Macaca fascicularis: one gene and its partners. The protein of the gene in region 1 interacts with the protein of each later gene in a biochemical or structural test. Links are inferred from orthologs where the notes say so. Each region holds a gene or a part of one and is shown in the gene's direction. Other genes may lie near its edges.

What was found. The genes of interacting proteins can lie anywhere in the genome.
Region 2: the proteins of UBE2L3 (region 1) and AREL1 form a complex in vitro, tested with the Homo sapiens proteins (4 studies listed by BioGRID). The link is inferred for Macaca fascicularis from reciprocal best matches to the Homo sapiens genes UBE2L3 and AREL1.
Region 3: the proteins of UBE2L3 (region 1) and UBR5 form a complex in vitro, tested with the Homo sapiens proteins (6 studies listed by BioGRID). The link is inferred for Macaca fascicularis from reciprocal best matches to the Homo sapiens genes UBE2L3 and UBR5.
Region 4: the proteins of UBE2L3 (region 1) and SMURF2 form a complex in vitro, tested with the Homo sapiens proteins (11 studies listed by BioGRID, with this or other methods). The link is inferred for Macaca fascicularis from reciprocal best matches to the Homo sapiens genes UBE2L3 and SMURF2.
Region 5: the proteins of UBE2L3 (region 1) and HERC6 form a complex in vitro, tested with the Homo sapiens proteins (2 studies listed by BioGRID). The link is inferred for Macaca fascicularis from reciprocal best matches to the Homo sapiens genes UBE2L3 and HERC6.

Annotation. Positions count from the first base shown.
Region 1 is NC_088384.1:31,559,586-31,563,754, reverse strand, and holds the start of UBE2L3 (ubiquitin-conjugating enzyme E2 L3), read left to right. Parts: upstream 1-1,369; 5' UTR 1,370-1,395; coding exon 1,396-1,422; exon of another isoform or gene 1,423-1,948; intron 1,949-4,169. UniProt on the Homo sapiens protein: Ubiquitin-conjugating enzyme E2 that specifically acts with HECT-type and RBR family E3 ubiquitin-protein ligases.
Region 2 is NC_088381.1:142,610,915-142,614,178, reverse strand, and holds the end of AREL1 (apoptosis-resistant E3 ubiquitin protein ligase 1), read left to right. Parts: coding exon 1-98; intron 99-172; coding exon 173-275; 3' UTR 276-2,764; downstream 2,765-3,264. UniProt on the Homo sapiens protein: E3 ubiquitin-protein ligase that catalyzes 'Lys-11'- or 'Lys-33'-linked polyubiquitin chains, with some preference for 'Lys-33' linkages.
Region 3 is NC_088382.1:111,884,516-111,888,015, reverse strand, and holds part of UBR5 (E3 ubiquitin-protein ligase UBR5), read left to right. Parts: intron 1-117; coding exon 118-238; intron 239-339; coding exon 340-444; intron 445-3,209; coding exon 3,210-3,453; intron 3,454-3,500. UniProt on the Homo sapiens protein: E3 ubiquitin-protein ligase involved in different protein quality control pathways in the cytoplasm and nucleus. Mainly acts as a ubiquitin chain elongator that extends pre-ubiquitinated substrates.
Region 4 is NC_088390.1:71,138,891-71,142,390, reverse strand, and holds part of SMURF2 (E3 ubiquitin-protein ligase SMURF2), read left to right. Parts: intron 1-972; coding exon 973-1,174; intron 1,175-2,435; coding exon 2,436-2,511; intron 2,512-2,823; coding exon 2,824-2,923; 3' UTR 2,924-3,500. UniProt on the Homo sapiens protein: E3 ubiquitin-protein ligase which accepts ubiquitin from an E2 ubiquitin-conjugating enzyme in the form of a thioester and then directly transfers the ubiquitin to targeted substrates.
Region 5 is NC_088379.1:93,929,405-93,932,904, forward strand, and holds part of HERC6 (probable E3 ubiquitin-protein ligase HERC6), read left to right. Parts: intron 1-709; coding exon 710-869; intron 870-2,956; coding exon 2,957-3,033; intron 3,034-3,500. UniProt on the Homo sapiens protein: E3 ubiquitin-protein ligase which accepts ubiquitin from an E2 ubiquitin-conjugating enzyme in the form of a thioester and then directly transfers the ubiquitin to targeted substrates.

The DNA of each region.
Region 1 (4,169 bases):
TTTTTTTTTTTTTTTTTTGAGACGGAGTCTCGCTGTGTCTCCCAGGCTGGAGTGCAGTGGCGTGATCTCGGCTCACTGCAAGCTCCGCCTCCCGGGTTCATGCCATTCTCCCGCCTCAGCCTCCCGAGTAGCTGAGACTACAGGCACCCGCCACCACGCCCGGCTAGTTTTTTGTATTTTTAGTAGAGACGGGGTTTCACCGTGTTAGCCAGGATAGTCTCGATCTCCTGACCTCGTGATCCACCCGCCTCGGCCTCCCAAAGTGCTGGGATTACAGGCTTGAGCCACCGCGCCCGGCCGAAACCCACTGTTCTTAGAAATGGAGAAAAATGTCCAAGCCCAGTGACTCACACCTATAATCCCAGCACTTTGGGAGGCCAAGGTGGGTGGATTGCTTGAGGTCAGCAGTTTGAGACCAGCCTGGCCAAAAATGCTAAAACCCTGTCTCTACCGAAAATACAAAAATTAGCTGGGCATGGTGGCAGGTGCCTGTAATCTATGCTACTCAAGAGGCTGAGGCAGGAGAATCACTTGAACCTGGGATTCAGAGGTTGCAGTGAGCTGAGATCATGCCATTGCACTCCACTCTGGGTGACAGAGTGAAACTGTGTCTCAAAAAAAAAAAAAAAAAAAAAAAAAAGAGAACTCCTTAAGAAGGTCTGAGTATATTCTGAAGCTATGTTCTTCTCTCTTCTTTGCTCCCTGAGGTCCAAACCAGTGTCACCTCTTTGCCTGAACGATTGCAACAGGTTTCCAAGTGGCCCCTGCTCCCCTTCTTATCCTCTTACCCACCTCCATTCCCCATTCCAATCAGAGTACTTTTTTTTTTTTTTTTTAAGACGGAATCTCTGTCGCCCAGGCTGGAGTGCAGTGGCGTGGTCTCGGCTCACTGCAACCTCTGCCTCCCAGGTTCAAGCAATTCTCCTGCCTCAGCCTCCTGAGTAGCTGAGATTACAGACGCCCGCCACCACGCCCGGCTAATTTTTTGTATTTTTAGTAGAGCCACGGTTTCACCACTTTGGCCAGGCTGGTCTGGAACTGCTGACCTCGTGATCTACCCGCCTCGGTCTCCCAAAGTGCTGGGATTACAGGCGTGAGCCACCGCGCCCGGCCAACTATTTTATGCAATCAATATTTATTATTTGCCTACTACGTGCCAGGCACTGGTTGTAACTGTCATCTGATTGGACGATCCGTAAACGCTGCGGCTCAGCCTGTGCGGTTCACTTGTGTTCCTCCACGCGCCTCCGAGCACGCTGGGAAGCATACAGTAGGTGCTCTGCTCCGCTCCTGTGCCCCGCCCCGCGGCCCCTCCCCCGCTCCAGGAAGTGCGGGGGCTCCAGCCGCCCGGCCGGCCGCGATGCATTCTGGGGAAGGAGCAGCACCAAATCCAAGATGGCGGCCAGCAGGAGGCTGATGAAGGTAAAAGCCATTCTCTGGCCTCGGTCGGGCGTGGGGCGGCGTCCCAGGCTCCGGACCCCCGAGGCAGGCAGCGGCCTCTCAGGGCGCTGCCGTCTGGCCTCCTGCCCTACACGGCCTCGTCGGTTCCCTGGGCCGCGCGCAGGCTCAAGGAGCTAACGGGGCTGGCCTAGGCCGCAGCCTGGGCGGGAGCGCCAGGCCGCGCTGGGAGCCACTGTTGGCCCCTCAGCCCGGCCCGGGGCGTTCACGCCACCCTCCGCCCGGAGCGTGGCCGCGTCCCCCTGTCGCGGAGGCCGCGGTCCGACGCGAGGGCGTCGTTAATGTGAGAGCCCGGTTGGGAGGCTCCAAACTGAGCGCCTTCGGGGAAGGCCCGAGCGCCGGAGCCCCTGCCCGGAGCCCGTGCAGCGGAACCGCCCCGCCCTGGGCCTCAGCGAGCCGGGCTTGCAGCTCCGCTTGGCCCAGCCGCAGCTCGGAACTCTGGAAGGCTCGGGCTAGGAGAGCGGGGAGGAGGCCAGGCGGCCAAAGTTAGGTCAGTTTGTTGGTGGGTCGTTTGGAATTGCGCTGGGTCCTAGCAAACTGTCGCCTTGTGACTGCAGAGTCACACAGCGGGCAAGTTCCAACTCCAGGAAGGCCTGAGGTCGGCCCCCATCGCGGCGCGGTTCTCCTTCCCTCTCCTCCACTCAGTCATCTCGATCTCCCTTCCCTGATAAAGCAAAATGCCATTTTTTGGGGGGTAACGGTTGGTTTCAGTCGTTCGAATCAAAACGGGCCAAAGTTTATAATAATAACTTGGTACTTTGGATCTTGAATGCAGCAGGGTGCTTTCTTGCTACTTGGCACCTTTTAGTGAGGAACACATTAGCTAAATTGGCTTAGTTCTTTTGCCAGTGGATTTGCCAACGTCCTCCGGAGTCCCCTCCGCCAGCGTCTGTGAGTCGGCGGCTGGCTAGTGCAGCCGGCCTGCAACGGGCCGGAAATTAAAAAAAGGCCCCGGAGCCGGTTTCCTGAGGGGAGATAAAGAGCTGGGGTTCGTTCTGGGCAGAGCAGTGTTTGGTAGAACTAGACATTGAACTTGGAGCCACAGTCTCTGAGCCCTCCCTGCCTCCCTGGGAACGTTTCCTTTCTTTTGTTCCCTAAGGGCTAGAGAGGACATTAACTTTATAAAACTGGAGTGGAAGTGGGCACAAAAGAAAACTCAGAGGACTTCTGACTTCTCATCTCTTAAGCTAGTGACACCACCATTCACCAGATAAGGGGTCGGTTAATGGCTTTCTTTCCTACCCTACTCCCAGGTGCAGTCGTCCTTCAACCCTTGTGGATTTAAATTTAGAAAGTTTTCTGGAGTGCAGGCCGGGCGCGGTGGCTCACGCCTGTAATCCCAGCACTCTGGGAGGCCGAGGCGGGCGGATCACTTGAGGTCAGGAGTTCAAGACCAGCCCGGCCAACATGGTGAACTCCTGTCTCTACTAAAAATATAAAAATTAGCTGGGCGTGGTCGCATTCGCCTGTAATCTCAGCTACCCGGGAGGCTGAAGTGGGAGAATCGTTTGAACCTGGCAGGTGGAGGTTGCAGTGAGCCAAGTTTGCGCCACTGCACTCCAGCCAGGGCGACAGAGTGAGACTCCATCTCAAAAACAAACAAAAAAAAAGATTTCTGAAGTGCATGACTTGCTTTCTAATGTTACTGAAATTACTCTGAATCTGTATCCTCATCTCTTGGGTGCCCTCCGGAGTGCTCTCCTCCCCAGACTACCCCTCACGGACACCAGAGTTCTTTTAAGGCAGATAACTCAATTCTTTTCACTCCTGTTAAAAATGTCTATGGTCTTATTGTCCTCAGCAGTTAATCCTAACCTCTTACTTGGCATGCAAGACCTTTCTGAGACTGACGGAAAGCAATCAGTTGAGCCTCACCTCCTGCCCTTTGGTTTCCCACCATTCTTGCACCTAATCGCAGTAGCTACTATTTTTCCAGCTTTTACTTCGTGCTTTATATGCATGATCATGTTTAATCCTTCCTGTGAAGTAGACATTGTGATTTCCATTTTGTCGATGAGAAAAGATTATTTGGCTTGCCCTGGGTTACCTAGCTAGGGAGAGTGAGCTGTGATCGAACTGGGTTCTTTCTCCAAAGCAAAGTCTCCTGCTCTTACTTGCCCTCTGGTGTCTCTTTGCACGTGTCGTTTGCTCTGCCCCAAAAAAGTTGCCTTCTCCTCACTTCTGCCTTCCAGAGAAGTCCCAGGTTCAACTCCAATGCCAACTGCTCTGTGAGCCCCTGCTTCACATCCCCCTTCAGAATGAGTTGTTTCCTCCTCTGTGTGACCACAGCACTTTATGTTTCTCTTTGAGCACTTGTCACAATCTCTTTGTGTTACAGACTTGTCTTTCCTGTACTGGGTTCTGAGATCCCGAAGGGCAGGGATCTTGACCTAATTCATCCTGGAAGCCCCCTAGCCTATCCCAGTTGACCCAGTTTGGAATCCCCAGGCTCTCAGGGGTCTAAGAGGGGACTTATTACGGGTTTAAAATTATTACTCTGTTTCTAAAAAAATAGACCTTGGAAAAGAATTTGTAACATTAACTGAGTATTTATTAAATATTAGGTTATTTACATAAGTTATCTTTTCAACACTCCAAGTTAGTGTATTGTCGTTTTTATGTTTTTACAAATGAGGACATTGTGAGGTTAACTAGGTTAAGGGAGTTACCTAAGGTAGAATCGTAGAATGTGGTGGGGAGGGAGAAGACAC
Region 2 (3,264 bases), on another chromosome or scaffold:
TCCTCTCAGCTACCACCTGGAGGCTTTGCCGCCCTCTGTCCCTCATTTCAGATTATTGCCGCTCCGACCCATAGCACGCTGCCTACTGCACACACATGGTAGGTATCTGCCCGCCTGATGCATGTCCAGTGTTTGGTGGTATGAGTTAATCAATTCTCCCTTGCCCTTCCAGTTTTAACCAGCTGTGCCTCCCTACATATGACTCCTATGAAGAGGTGCACAGGATGCTGCAGCTGGCCATCAGCGAGGGTTGCGAGGGCTTTGGCATGCTCTGACCGCTCTCCTGTCATCCACTTGGCTCCCATGCTCTCTGGAGCTTCTGGGCACAAGTTACAGACATCATAACCACTGATCCTAACACACATAACCATCAGCCAGAAGATGCCGCATGCTCCCTTGTGTCTGGAGGATTGTGTCACCTACAAGCCTTGTCTTTACCTCACCTGCTCTCTGCCCATATCTACCACAGGCCACTTTGGCATGGTATGTAAGCTGAGCTCTTCATTCTGTCATGAGAAGAGGACCATGCTGCTGTCATTTATTTGGTCCTTTGAAGATCTCAGTAGCTGAGGGAGATGGCACACGGGGCTCAGCCCTGTTGGGAAACTAGTGTGGAGACCCTTAAATCTACACTGCTCCAAAACTCCCTCTGCTGATACTCCTTGGAGACACCCTCTTTGGCCCTCACTACTTGACCAGACTGGTACTTGAGTCCTTCTCATGGGTGGGGTGATTGCCTCTTCTCATCAGGAGCCAGGAGAGAGGGACAGATAGGAGGTGGCCCATAGGAGCAGTCCCTCTGCACAATGGTAGGCATAGGCCATGGCACTGGACTGCCTCTAATGAGGACTGATAAAAAGAATCTCTTTTTGTGGTGTCAGAACTGGAAAAAGCACTTTCCCTTCGGGCATTTCTGGAAACGATTATTAATCCACAAAGAAGAACTCTCTAAGCTTTTTCTTGAATTGTAGCCAGTGAGAAAAGCAGATAGACTGAAGAATATGAAGGATAGCTGAGCTGTAGCCTCCAGAGTGGGGCATGCCTAGGCGTGTGGCTGGCTTGGAGACTACTGATGCTTTTCCCTGAGTTGGTTATTGGCACTGAAGTATGGCCGGCTTGGGCCACTGACTTCCCTATTATGTAGTCTGCTAAAAGCTGGGGATTCTTTAGCGTTCTACTGAAGAAAATTTTGTAGCAAAAGATTAGAACAGTAAGAATAGTATGCCAGCAATCCCTGATTCTCTGTCTGCTTGGTGTTCTCTGGCAGCACTAAGACAAAGGACCAGGGATTAGGAGTTTACGTGCTTATCACAGGTCCTTGGGGTCAGGACACTAGGGACGAACATGGAGGTGATATGTTACACAGTAAACACCTGCCAACCCCTATACTCCCCTTTGCTCCATCAGTTACAAGGAAGGAGAACTAAGGAGGGAGGAAGCTTATTAGGTTCACTGTTGAATGATGATTGAAGAGTACCTGCTGCTGTCTCTTGGAAGATGACAACATCCTTTTTCATTACTATTTGAGAACAATTTCAAGATTCAAAATCTCATTGACTTCCCAAATTTGTGTTTTTAAGAAGGCTTTGCTGCAAGCTACCATTCCCAATGGGGCAGTCAACTCAGAATATTACAAGCCATCCTTATTGCCAAAACCAGCAAGTACACAGAGTCCTGAGACAAGGCAGGACTTTGGCAATGCCTTGGCCTCCTGGAAGCATGTCTGAGCCCTCCTGTTCCCAGGGATCATGAGGAACAAGCCCTCCTGAGCTGCTACAGTTCCTGCCTGACCTCACTCTTTCGCAGTCATCATTTGTCCTTTCTTGGCACATGGGTGCTGACCTCACTCATCCTTGGGGTCCGGGATCCAGCATCAGGGTCTCTGTACCCCAGGATCCTCCATGCCACATGGTCACTGCTCTCCTCAGGGACCAGGACAAGGTGCTGCTGCTTGCCCAAATGTTTTCCCATGGGATATGTACAGGAAGGTTTATCATCACCCTGGGAAACATGATGCTGCCCCCTTGGGCCCAGAAAGGGGTTTCCAGCTGGGGGCACGTGGACTGGTTCTGCTGTTTTTGGCAGTTGCTTTTCTGAATTCTCCCCTCCGGCAGCCTTCCAGAGACTGATCCTGGAGACTGAGTTGATTGTCTTGGCTAGATCTGTCATTTTAAGCTCTAGTCATAGCACTTTTTCAGAGCATCTTAGGCACCATTGCAACCCAACCAGGGCAGCTGCATCCCTGTGGTGGTCCTTAGGCACCAGTCTTTGTTAAACAAAACCCTTTGGTACTGTTGTGGTTTTCTATTCTTCCAGTTTACTCTCTCTGTCCTAACTTTATTCAAAAGTATCTTTGCTCTCTTGGGCCTTTTCTTTTACCTTTCTTTTTCTTTTGTTTTGTTTTGTTTTTTTCTAATCCTGCTTTCATACTAGCCAGTGTGGGGAAAAGGTACAATATGTCAAAGAGATGAGAGTGTGTTATTTGTTGGGCAATTTTCTATTAGTGTTTCTTATTTTGGACAGTTATTTTATTTATGTCCTTGTGACCCAGGTACTTGGGGGCCAGCTACCCTTCTGGCCTTTAGCGTCTTTGAAGGAGACCAGACATGAGTGAATACCTAGGAGAGTGTCAGCATGTTTCTGGAAAATTGGCAGAGACCAAGCCCCGCTGCAGATTGCTCAGGCCAGGTGAAAGGGCCAGGCAGTTGCAGCTGATGATGTAAATATTTTGTACAGTAAATAAATAAATGTTTAAAAGAACCAAGAAGTGAGTGGCTGCTTTAAATGGAGATTCATGGCTTGACTGGAAGGTGGGGAAGGAAAAGATTTGGAAATGATTTTGCATTTCCCCAGTAATTCCTCCTGAAGTGGTTGGCTTGGGGTAGAGTGTACGCCTGAAGCCCAGGCCTGCCCCACTCGTGCCCTTTCACCCTTCCCTGATTGCTGTCCATGGTGCCAGGCAGGGCCACTGTCTCAGCCATGGGGAGATGAGGACAAGTGTTATGCTCAGCTTCTGAAGAAGGAACCAGTTAATCAGTCTTTAAACATTAATTCATTGTTGTTTTACTACCTAGAAATTCAATATAGAAAATTTGGAAATAAGAAAAAGAACAAGGGAAATAGGCAAGTTGCTATCCAGAGGCAATCACTGTTAACACTTCGATAAATAGCCTTTTGATTTTCATATTTAAGCACACATTTGTCTCCCAACATCTCCCTAACCCACAAGGGGTTTACAAAGGTAAGCTTGGAAGAGAAGAAAAA
Region 3 (3,500 bases), on another chromosome or scaffold:
AGAATATTAAAAAAAATAAATAAAGTAAGTTACTACCATTGAACGAAAAACATCAGTCTTTGAAATTGGCTAAAGTATTTCCTCCCCGCCCCGCCCCTTCCCTTAAACTTCTTACAGGCCACAGTGTAGCTTTATGGGAATGGTTATTTCCCATGATATGCTGCTAGGACGTTGGCGCCTTTCTTTAGAACTGTTCGGCAGGGTATTCATGGAAGATGTTGGAGCAGAACCTGGATCAGTATGTATTTTGTGCACTTTAAATTCCATTCTGCCTGATGAGCACATATTTCAGGGAATAATCTGTCATGCTTTTTTTTTTTTTTTTTTTTTTTTTTTAAGATCCTGACTGAATTGGGTGGTTTTGAGGTAAAAGAATCAAAATTCCGTAGAGAAATGGAAAAACTGAGAAACCAGCAGTCAAGAGATTTATCACTAGAGGTAAAGGTATTTAGATTTTCTTATACTATACCTGTAGCATGCTATTTATATAAATTTTAAAACATACAAAATAACAGTAGCTTTACTTAGGTATATGTACTTATAATTAAAAAATTAAAGAAAATAAAAGACATGTTAAACTGCCAAATTTATTTTTTATTTGTGTGTGTGTGTGTGTGTGGTTTCTTTTTATTTTTTTCTTATTGTAACCATCAAATTTAGAATAGTGGTTTTCTCTGGCAGTTTGGTTCCCTAGCATCCTCTATGAATTTTTTTGTTTTAGTTTTTAAGTATCATTATGCATGCCTTGATTTAAAGATTTTTTTATGTATTTAATTCCATTGAGATTATTATTCATATTGATGCTCAAATTGTGTCTTCTTTGGCTAATGGGAGTCTTGAGTCAATTTTGATTCCTCAGTCCTTTTGGCATTGGCCCAGTAATTTTTGATAACTTTCTTACTTCCTGGTATGTTTCATCTTGTGCATTTCCTGTCGCAGACCTTAAATCAGCCATTTCTTAAAGTAGCCTTGATTCCTTTTAGTAGGAAATTGTGTTTTGAGATTACAGTCTGTGCTCTAAGATTGCAAATTGCTACTGGGTTGATCATGGTTTCTAGGCCTTTTTAATTGATAACAGTTTGGCAGTGCATTTTATTTTGTTCTTTTTTTAAAAAAATAAAATAATGAATTAATATTGATACTCCCAATTCAAATTCAAGATGTAGGACCACAAGGTTGTTTTTGTTATTTTTGCTTTTTAGATTTTTTTTTTTTTTTTTTTTTTGAGGCGGAGTCTTGCTTTGTCACCCAGGCCAGAGCACAGTGGCATGATCTTGGCTCACTGCAACCTCCACCTCTTGGGTTCAGGAGACTCTCCTGCTTCAGCCTCCTGAGTAGCTGGGATTACAGGTGTCTGCAACCATGCCTGGCTAATTTTTGTATTTTTAATAGAGACAGGGTTTCACCATGTTGGCCAGGCTGGTCTCAAACTCCCGACCTCAGGTGATCCACCTGCCCTGGCCTCCCAAAGTGCTGGGATTAGAGGTGTGAGCCACCACACCTGGCCTTGCTTCTTAGATCTTAAGTCTTTATCTCCTTTCTTTCAGACTGAATATCCAACTTCCCAACAACATTAATCAAATTACTCATTTGTTTTAATGCCACAACATACACAGTAGCAGTCAGAATTACATCACTGGAATCTGAGGTGGAAGGATGGCTTGAGTCCAGGAATTCGAGGACAGCCTGGGCAACATAATGTGAGAGACTCTGTCTCTTAAAAAGAATTATAACATCAACACTACCACTAACAAAATGATTATTCAAAATAATTAAAGATTTATTTGCAGATGTTTGTACTTAGATCATATACAGTTAGAGATAACACAGTTAAAGGAGGTTTATTTTAAAGTCACTTGAAGTAATTTCTCTTTGTAGGTTTTGCTACCAGCTCTATATGATTAGGACCTTTTGTTTCATTTTGCTTTCAGATTTTAGGGATTCCTTTTTCCTCTTTTGGTTTTATTTTGTAATCAATGTAAAATATCTACAGTGTGGCAGAGTGAACTCTACAAAAGAATGAATATAAGTCTATTCTTGTCTCTTTTACCCATTTTTTCAAGTTTATTTCCTTCCCTCCCTTTTAAAACATATAAGCATATGTGTGTATTAATTACATACTTCCTCCCACCTCCCCAAACATACTATACATTTTATTCCATCTTGCTTTTCTCAGTTAATAGTATATCCCAGAGAAAATGTGAAATGTTCTACCTTCCTTTTATAGCTGCTTAATATACTGCACTTTTATGGTTGTTATCGCAGTTTTTGCAGCTAATCCCTTACAGGCTAGGTATTCAGGCTTATTTCCAGTCTTTTGCTATTACAGATAGTGTGATGAATGGCCTTGTGTTTTTTTGCTAGTGTGTCCCTGAGATAGATGCTTAGACGTGGAATTGCTGGGTCAAAGAGTATGTGCATGTGATTTTGCTAGACATTGACGGATACTTCTGCATAGCAGTTGCATAATTTTGCATTTTCACCATCAATGTGAGAATGCATGATTTGCCTCAGTCTTGCCAGCATTTGTTAAACTTCTAGATTTTTGCTAATCTGATAGGTAAGAAATAGCACCTCAGTATAGTTTTAATTTGAATTTATCTTATTTTGAGCAAAGTTAAACATTATTTCATATATTTAGGATAGTTGTATTTAACTCAGTTGATGTGCCCATTTTTTTTTCTAAGTTGGCTTTCTCTCAGATTTCAGAGGCTTTTTATGTAGCTACAGGTGATAGACACACTCATTAATGATTATATATATCTTTGTGAGAAAAGATGCAAACAATTTTCCAGTTTGGTTAATTCCCCTCCAGCCTCCCGCCCACTTAGCTTGTCATCAAGGAATTCATCTGTGTTTTTTTCTGTTTTTTTTTTTTTTAACATCTCTGATTATTTGGTATTCTGGTGTATCCCAAAATTGAACAAGATTATTGTTTTCCAATAAACCTTTGAAAGAAAGTGTTAGAATTGAATTAAATTCTGTTGTCCTGATTTAATTTGCAAGACCTTCTTGTGTGCTTTAATGGTTTAAACATTGTATTTCGTAATGGATAAGCTTCTGAGAACTCTGATTACTTTGTAGTTTTTTAAACTCTCAAGGAAAAGCTAAAACTAGATTTTCAGATTGAAAATAGAAAAATTCAAACTACAAAAAATTCTAACTACTTTCCAACATTGAATTTACTACTTCTTGATGTGTTTTAATAGGTTGATCGGGATCGAGATCTTCTCATTCAGCAGACTATGAGGCAGCTTAACAATCACTTTGGTCGAAGATGTGCTACTACACCAATGGCTGTACACAGAGTAAAAGTCACATTTAAGGATGAGCCAGGAGAGGGCAGTGGTGTAGCACGAAGTTTTTATACAGCCATTGCACAAGCATTTTTGTCAAATGAAAAATTGCCAAATCTAGAGTGTATCCAAAATGCCAACAAAGGCACCCACACAAGTAAGTAGTCCACAGATAACAAGCATCATAAAACTTCTTTCCTTGTC
Region 4 (3,500 bases), on another chromosome or scaffold:
TTAGCAGAGGTCTGTATCAATGTGCTCATGTATTTTGTGCTTTAATATCAATTTAAGATTATTAAGCAAATGTAGACCAGGCGTGGTGGCTCACGCCTGTAATCCTAACACTTTGGGAGGCTGAGGCAGGTGGATCACTTGAGGCCAGGAGTTGGAGACCAGCCTGGCCAACATGGCAGAATCCTGTCTCTACTGAAAAATACAAAAATTAGCTGGGCATTGTGGCGCATGCCTGTAATCCCAGCTACTCAGGAGGTTGAGGCAGGAGAATCACTTGAACCCAGGAGGCAGAGGTTGCAGTGAGCCTAGATCATGCCATTGCACACCAGCCTAGGAGACAGAGCGAAACTCTGTCTTAAAAAAAAAAAAAAAAAAAAAAATTAAGCAAATTGTATGAATCACTTATTCAACACCCATTTCTAAAGTTTCTGTGCATTATCGGTTCCTTCCACAGGATGTAGTGAAATGGATGTTACTGCCATATTACAGCAGAGGACATTGATTGAATTGCTCTCAATCAACAAAGCTAATAGATATTGAAACTAGTAGATGATACAGGTCCAAAGAAGGCACATATCAACTGTATTTACTCTTTGGATCTCAATTGCTGTCCATTTTCTTAAAAGTTTTATAATTTTATTATGAACTTATAAAACAGTCACAATTTTTTACCTGGTCAAGTCTATCACAGCTGTGGTTCTCAGACCCTGGGGAGGGAGTTTCAATGAGTAGATACCTCTGGAACTTTTAAAAATATAGATCCCAACTGTCACCCCAGATGCACAGAATTAAAATCTCTGAGCCTAGAACCTGGTATGTCAATTTGAAAAGCTTTTCAGATGATTCTGATGTGCAACTTCGATTAGGAACCACCAAATGAGAGCCAGCAGTACAAATCTGAAGTTCTCTTTTGAGGAATTTTTGACCTGGCTATGGTTTCCACAGGTTCATTACTGTGTACTATTTTCACAGCTTATTATTTGTGGACTTGGAAAGATAGATGTTAGTGACTGGAAGGTAAACACCCGGTTAAAACACTGTACACCAGACAGCAACATTGTCAAATGGTTCTGGAAAGCTGTGGAGTTTTTTGATGAAGAGCGACGAGCACGATTGCTTCAGTTTGTGACAGGGTCCTCTCGAGTGCCTCTGCAGGGCTTCAAAGCATTGCAAGGTAACAGCCTGAGGGGCAGGCAAGCTGGGCGGCAGGTGGACCAGGGGTGGGGGCCAGGTCTGTCAGTATGGGGTCTGTGTAGATATTTTATAAACCGTGTGCTTAGAGATTCTCTTTTCACTTCTTACCTGTGACTCTCACATTGTGATACCTTCTCCTTCCTTTCTCTTGTTCCCCTCCCAAGAGCCTTTTGTGTGGGCTTCTCTGATTGTAGTGAGTGCCGCATGCTAGAGACCGTACGTAGTGATGCTCTGCCTTTTGTTTTCTGGTCACCTTACTTTTAATTCTGTTGCACATTCCTGTAAGGGAAGTCATTCACTTTCATGTTCACATCTCGACCTGGTGAAAATGTTTACCTGCCTGGGATGCCTCTCCCCTTACTTTTCAGTTCTTTATTAGACAGAAGCAGCATGGGTCATGGAAACCATCTGTTCGGTCAGAACATTTTAATTACTGCATGGCATCAGACCATTTGTTTACAACCATATTCCTTTTTAAAGAATGGTTTTCCGTGGAATCAGCTGGTTAATTTTGGGATGAGCTTGTAATATTGCTAATGATTGTGGCGCTTCACTGGGTGGCAGTTGCTTCCTTTACCTCTTAAGCACTTCATTGTCAAAGCTGCTGGTGATGACTAAGGACATACAGAGCGAGACTGGTACATAATTCGGCAGTGCTGCCCACAGCGCATGCTCTGAAATCCCTGGGGCGAACCTGCTTTCAGCTGTGCTGCCCTTCTCTGTAAGGAGAGCTCCTCAGCATCACACTGCCCAGATGCATAAAGTGAGGTTGTATTTCTGCTACGTGTATTTATATGGGGTGTCTGTGCGAACTGAAATGGATTCTATAGACGGCTCTTTTGCGCTCAGCCCAGTTTGAGTCATGAAATCTAAATTCGCATTAGGTCATCTTTTTGAATGTGTGCCTATGTATTTTACCTTGGATTTTCCTGATTACTTTTCTTCTCATGCTTTTGGGATATTGATTTTCTCTAAAATATAGAAATTGGGAAAGAGATTTCAATCTCGAGTTTTTTCTCAAATGGAAATACAAAGGTATTATGGAATCTAAGCCTTATCCAAGGTTAATTCTGGCTCTCAAAACCCAGATGCTTTTCCTGCTGCCCTTTGGTAGTACGTGCGGATTCATTAGCATTCCTCTATCCCCAGATCCTGTGGTTTACGTGCCAGTTTTATTCTAAGATTGTGGCGACAAATGCACGCACCTGCAGTGATTTCACCCACATTTCCTTCATTTGCAGGTGCTGCAGGCCCGAGACTCTTTACCATACACCAGATTGATGCCTGCACAGACAACCTGCCGAAAGCCCACACTTGGTAAGGTATTTTTGTAGCTTTATTCCCCATTCCATGTACATAGGTGTTAGTTCCGAACAGATTGGACTTTTTCTTTATTGTACTTACTAGTGTTGAATGAGCCTTTAAAGGGAATGATAAGCAGCTTAAGCGATTTAAAGTTAAGATTATTCGAAAACTGGTAGGAAAACTCAAAAGTGGTCACCTCTGTTTTAGAGAAATACCTTTTAGTTTTCTGTGTGACAGAGTGTTGTGGCTATATTGGTATACACTTGCTGGGCCAGTTTACTTATTATGAATGAACTGTGTAAAATTTGATTTGCTTATTCACAGCTTCAATCGAATAGACATTCCGCCCTATGAAAGCTATGAAAAGCTATATGAAAAGCTGCTAACAGCCATTGAAGAAACATGTGGATTTGCTGTGGAATGACGAGCTTCAAGGATTTGCCCAGGACTCTATTTATACAACCCTGACTGACAGTCTCCTTTCAGCAGAGTTTCAAAGAATGCTGAAATACAGGAAAACAACCCCCCCCCTTTTTTTTTTTTTTTTACATTTTAGGACACTGTGAGGGGAAAGGACAATTTTGAAATTCCTTTTCAAGGAAAAAAAGGTCTTTATGCTTTGCCATGAGGCCACATTCAGCTGCTATTTAAACTTAATATCTTGAACCTAAAGAATGCTGACTTTTCCTACATTTCCAGAGTTAGGCAGTATTCTACACTTAAAGACTACTACTATTTTTATAAAAGGTAATCTATTCAAATTGCTTCACAGATTTTAAGTCTCTCAAACATCAAGACAACTTCAGCAGTCGGTACAAGTCACATTTCATTTTGATTGAATACATAATTTTGAACAGCTCCTGTACTTGCTCTTTGTAAAAAATAAAAATAAAAAATTATTTTGAACTATTCTACCTTTGTAAACAATTGGCTAAAAGAATCATCTTTAAGAAATTAAGCCATTTACATGTTTGTGTTTTTCTATGGCAGAGCATTATATT
Region 5 (3,500 bases), on another chromosome or scaffold:
CCTTTATTTTGCTGGGTTTTGCTAGAGAAACATTTGGTCATGTGTCATAGTGCCTAGAAGTTACCCCCTCCATGATGCCTAATCCTTTAAATAGCAGCCATTAAAAGATAGACTTGAGTACACTAAATGTTTTTAAGAGTCAATTTGAATATTCAGCAGTTCATGAATTGAGCAGCACCAGACCTCAAGCAGTTGGGCTCCACTAAGGGAGGTGCAAGGAGATGCCAGGGGTAACCTTTGATAAGGTGTTCCAGGAAGTAAGACAAAGAAAATATTTGATTGGTTAAAGTGGAAAGTCCCTTGTTTGAAGTAGTCAACTGTTTCTGGTTGGTAAAGTCTCTTAGATGTTAGTTGGTGGTTTCTGATTGCTTAACCTTAAGTTTCATTTTCCTAGGCTATGATCAATCACTCTGAGTTGAGTTTTGGTTTGCTTAGGTAGGAACCCAAGGCGCTGGACCCATCTCAACTTAATAGTCTCCCAGTTGATTATTTTAACAGAGCTGTATCCTATCAAGACAGGGTAACACACATTGGAATTTACTTCCGTCAGACATTTAGAATGGACTTAAGGTCTTGAGTTAAAAGACCATTGGAGGAGACAAGAAATCTGGATGATCCTTCTTTTTGAAGAAAAGTGCTGTCTTAAACTTGTGTTAAATTAATAATCCGGTGGTGGTGGTTGGGGGGTGTTTTGTTTTGTTTTCCAAAGAACCAATTCAGGCATTGGAAACCCTAAATGTTGATCTTGTGAGCTGCGGGAAGGAGCACTCCCTGGCTGTGTGCCACAAAGGAAGGGTCTTCGCATGGGGAGCTGGTTCTGAGGGACAGCTGGGGATTGGAGAATTCAAGGAAATAAGTTTCACACCTAAGTAAGTATTTCAATCCACTCCTTCATTTATTCAATATATTTAGTACCATGTGCCAGGCACCATGCAAGATGCCAGGATACAAAGACGACTGTGACAGGCCAGCTTCAGTGATTCACATCTGTAATCCCAACACTTTGGAAGGCTAAGGTGGGCAGATCACTTGAGGTCAGGAATTTGAGACCAGCCTGGTCAACATGGCGAAAGCCCCTCTCTACAAAAAATACAAGAAAATTAGCTGGGCACAGTGGCAGTCACCTGCAATCCCAACTACTTAGGAGGCTGAAGCGGGAGAATTGCTTGAACCTGGGAGGCAGAGGTTGCAGTGCATGCAGAGAATGCACTGCACTCCAGTCTGGGCAACAGAGGGAGACTCAGTCTCAAAAAAAAAAAAAAAAAAGACTATGACAAACACAGTTCCTAACCTGAAAGATGAAGGCAGGAAAAAACCTACAACACCAATTATTATTTAATTAGAGCAGAGTGAAATGAGATGTGACCCTTTGATCTTAATCTTATCCCTTGGAATATCTATGGGGGCCCACTTAGACCTCCAGAGTGGGTATAAAGACTACTGTAAAGTAGAAACATTTGAGCTGCAAAAGATACAGATATAAATCTTACCTGAACTTCCTTTATCACACTAAAACAGAGCCTCCTGAAAATACAGTTCCCAGTAGCTTCCTTGAGTGAGAGTTTCCTGGGAAATCAGTTGTCATTAAGATAGACCACCCATAACCATTACCATCAAAAAGCCCAATAGAACCTTCTATACTTTCTCACTGAAGTCCCAAAGCCCCGCCTTTTATTAAGTTGACAGATATAAAACTTTACTTTGGGATATTCTGCAATAGCGAGCACACTTGTAAATAACCTTTGTCTTTTCTCATGTTAATCTATTGTCAGTTCATTTGCAAGCCCCCAAATATTGGACCAAAGGTGGAAGAGGAAAAGTTTTTTTCCCAACATAACCTTTTGACGTGTTATAAACCACTGGGCCCTAACATTTTACTTAGTAAAGTGGAGGGAAATGTCACATTTCCTCACAAACAGCTTCCCAGGACAGACATGACAAGTAGTTGGCTCTGGATTGTGTGTTTATGAATTACATACTTAGGGAATTTTCAAATGCATGCTTTTTAATATTAGGAAGTGACCTCTTGTTACCTCTTCTGGTCATTAAATTCTAGAAGAGATCAATGTTATTTGGGGGACTGAGCATTGAACTTGGAATGAAAAGACCAGAATTTGAGTCTAGTTCTACAACGTGATACCTATTTGACCTCTTTGAGTTTCATTAGATTCACCTTATGAAATTGCCGATAGTGGCCAGGCTCAGTGGCTCATGCCTGTAATCCCAGCACTTTGGGAGGCCGAGGCGGGCAGATCACCTGAGATCAGGATTTCGAGACCAGCCTGGCCAACATGGTGAAACCTCATGTATACTAAAAATACAAAAAAAAAATAGCCAGATGTTGTGGTGCATGCCTGTAATCACAGCTACTTGGGAGGCTGAGGCAGTAGAATTACTTGAACTCAGGAGGTGGAGGTTATAGTGAGCCAAGATCGCACCACTGCCCTCCAGTCTGGGACACAGAGCGAGACTCCATCTGTGAGAAGAAAAAGGAAATTGCTGATAGTTATCTGCTTTTGATCCACAAAAATGGTGGCAATTTTGTATGATTTAACCTAATGATTTCTTTATTAAATTAGGGCTTAAATTAGATGATGAAGATGTTGGTATTCTATAAATTCTAAGGCCCTATACTATATATGTAGAAAAACATTATTTTTCTCTTAGGCTAGTAAGTGTAGAATAAAATTAGTATATTAGATATTGCATTAAAGTCCAGTAACAATGGCTTTTGCATTATATACTGTTTTGGATTCTGTCCTATACCTTTGTACATGTTGATGTCATGTTAAAAACAGTTTGAGGGCTTTGGAATAAAGGTACTACAGAAATACAAGAAAATAAAATGGTTTTCCTAGACCAGATGTATTACTTGAGATACTTTTAAATATCTGTAGTCCACTGGACAACTCACTCTAAATAAGGATTAATTAACTTTGTATTATTTGTATTACAGGAAAATAACGACTCTGAATGGTATAAAAATAATACAAGTTTCCTGTGGACACTACCACTCCCTGGCATTATCAAAAGGTAAGAAACACTTTTTGGATCTGAGTGTGATTAGGAAGTAATTTTTTGAATAGGAATTATAGCTGTTGATTTTTAATGCACTGGGGTTTATTTTGAAGTTTTTCATTCTCCAGGTTTTGTAAGATATATTGTTTTTATATTTTTTTCTCAAATTTCGTGGTCCTAATTATACTCTAAACAGTGCCTAATTCATAGTGCCATAAGGGGCTGTCTCTGGTTATTTGACCTAACTGGCTAACTCTCTCAGAGCTTAGTAGTGGCTTTATTTCCAGCCCTTTGCTCTTTATGCTGAATGGCTTGTCCACACTGGCAGACTTATTTGTCTATTTCACTTAGATCAAATAAAGAGAAGTCAAGGTGTCAAAATCATGACTATATTTTTTTCTTTTTTAAAATTTTTACTTCTTTATCTTTATGGACACATAACAATCATACATCTACACTTTTTCGACCAAACTCCACCCTCT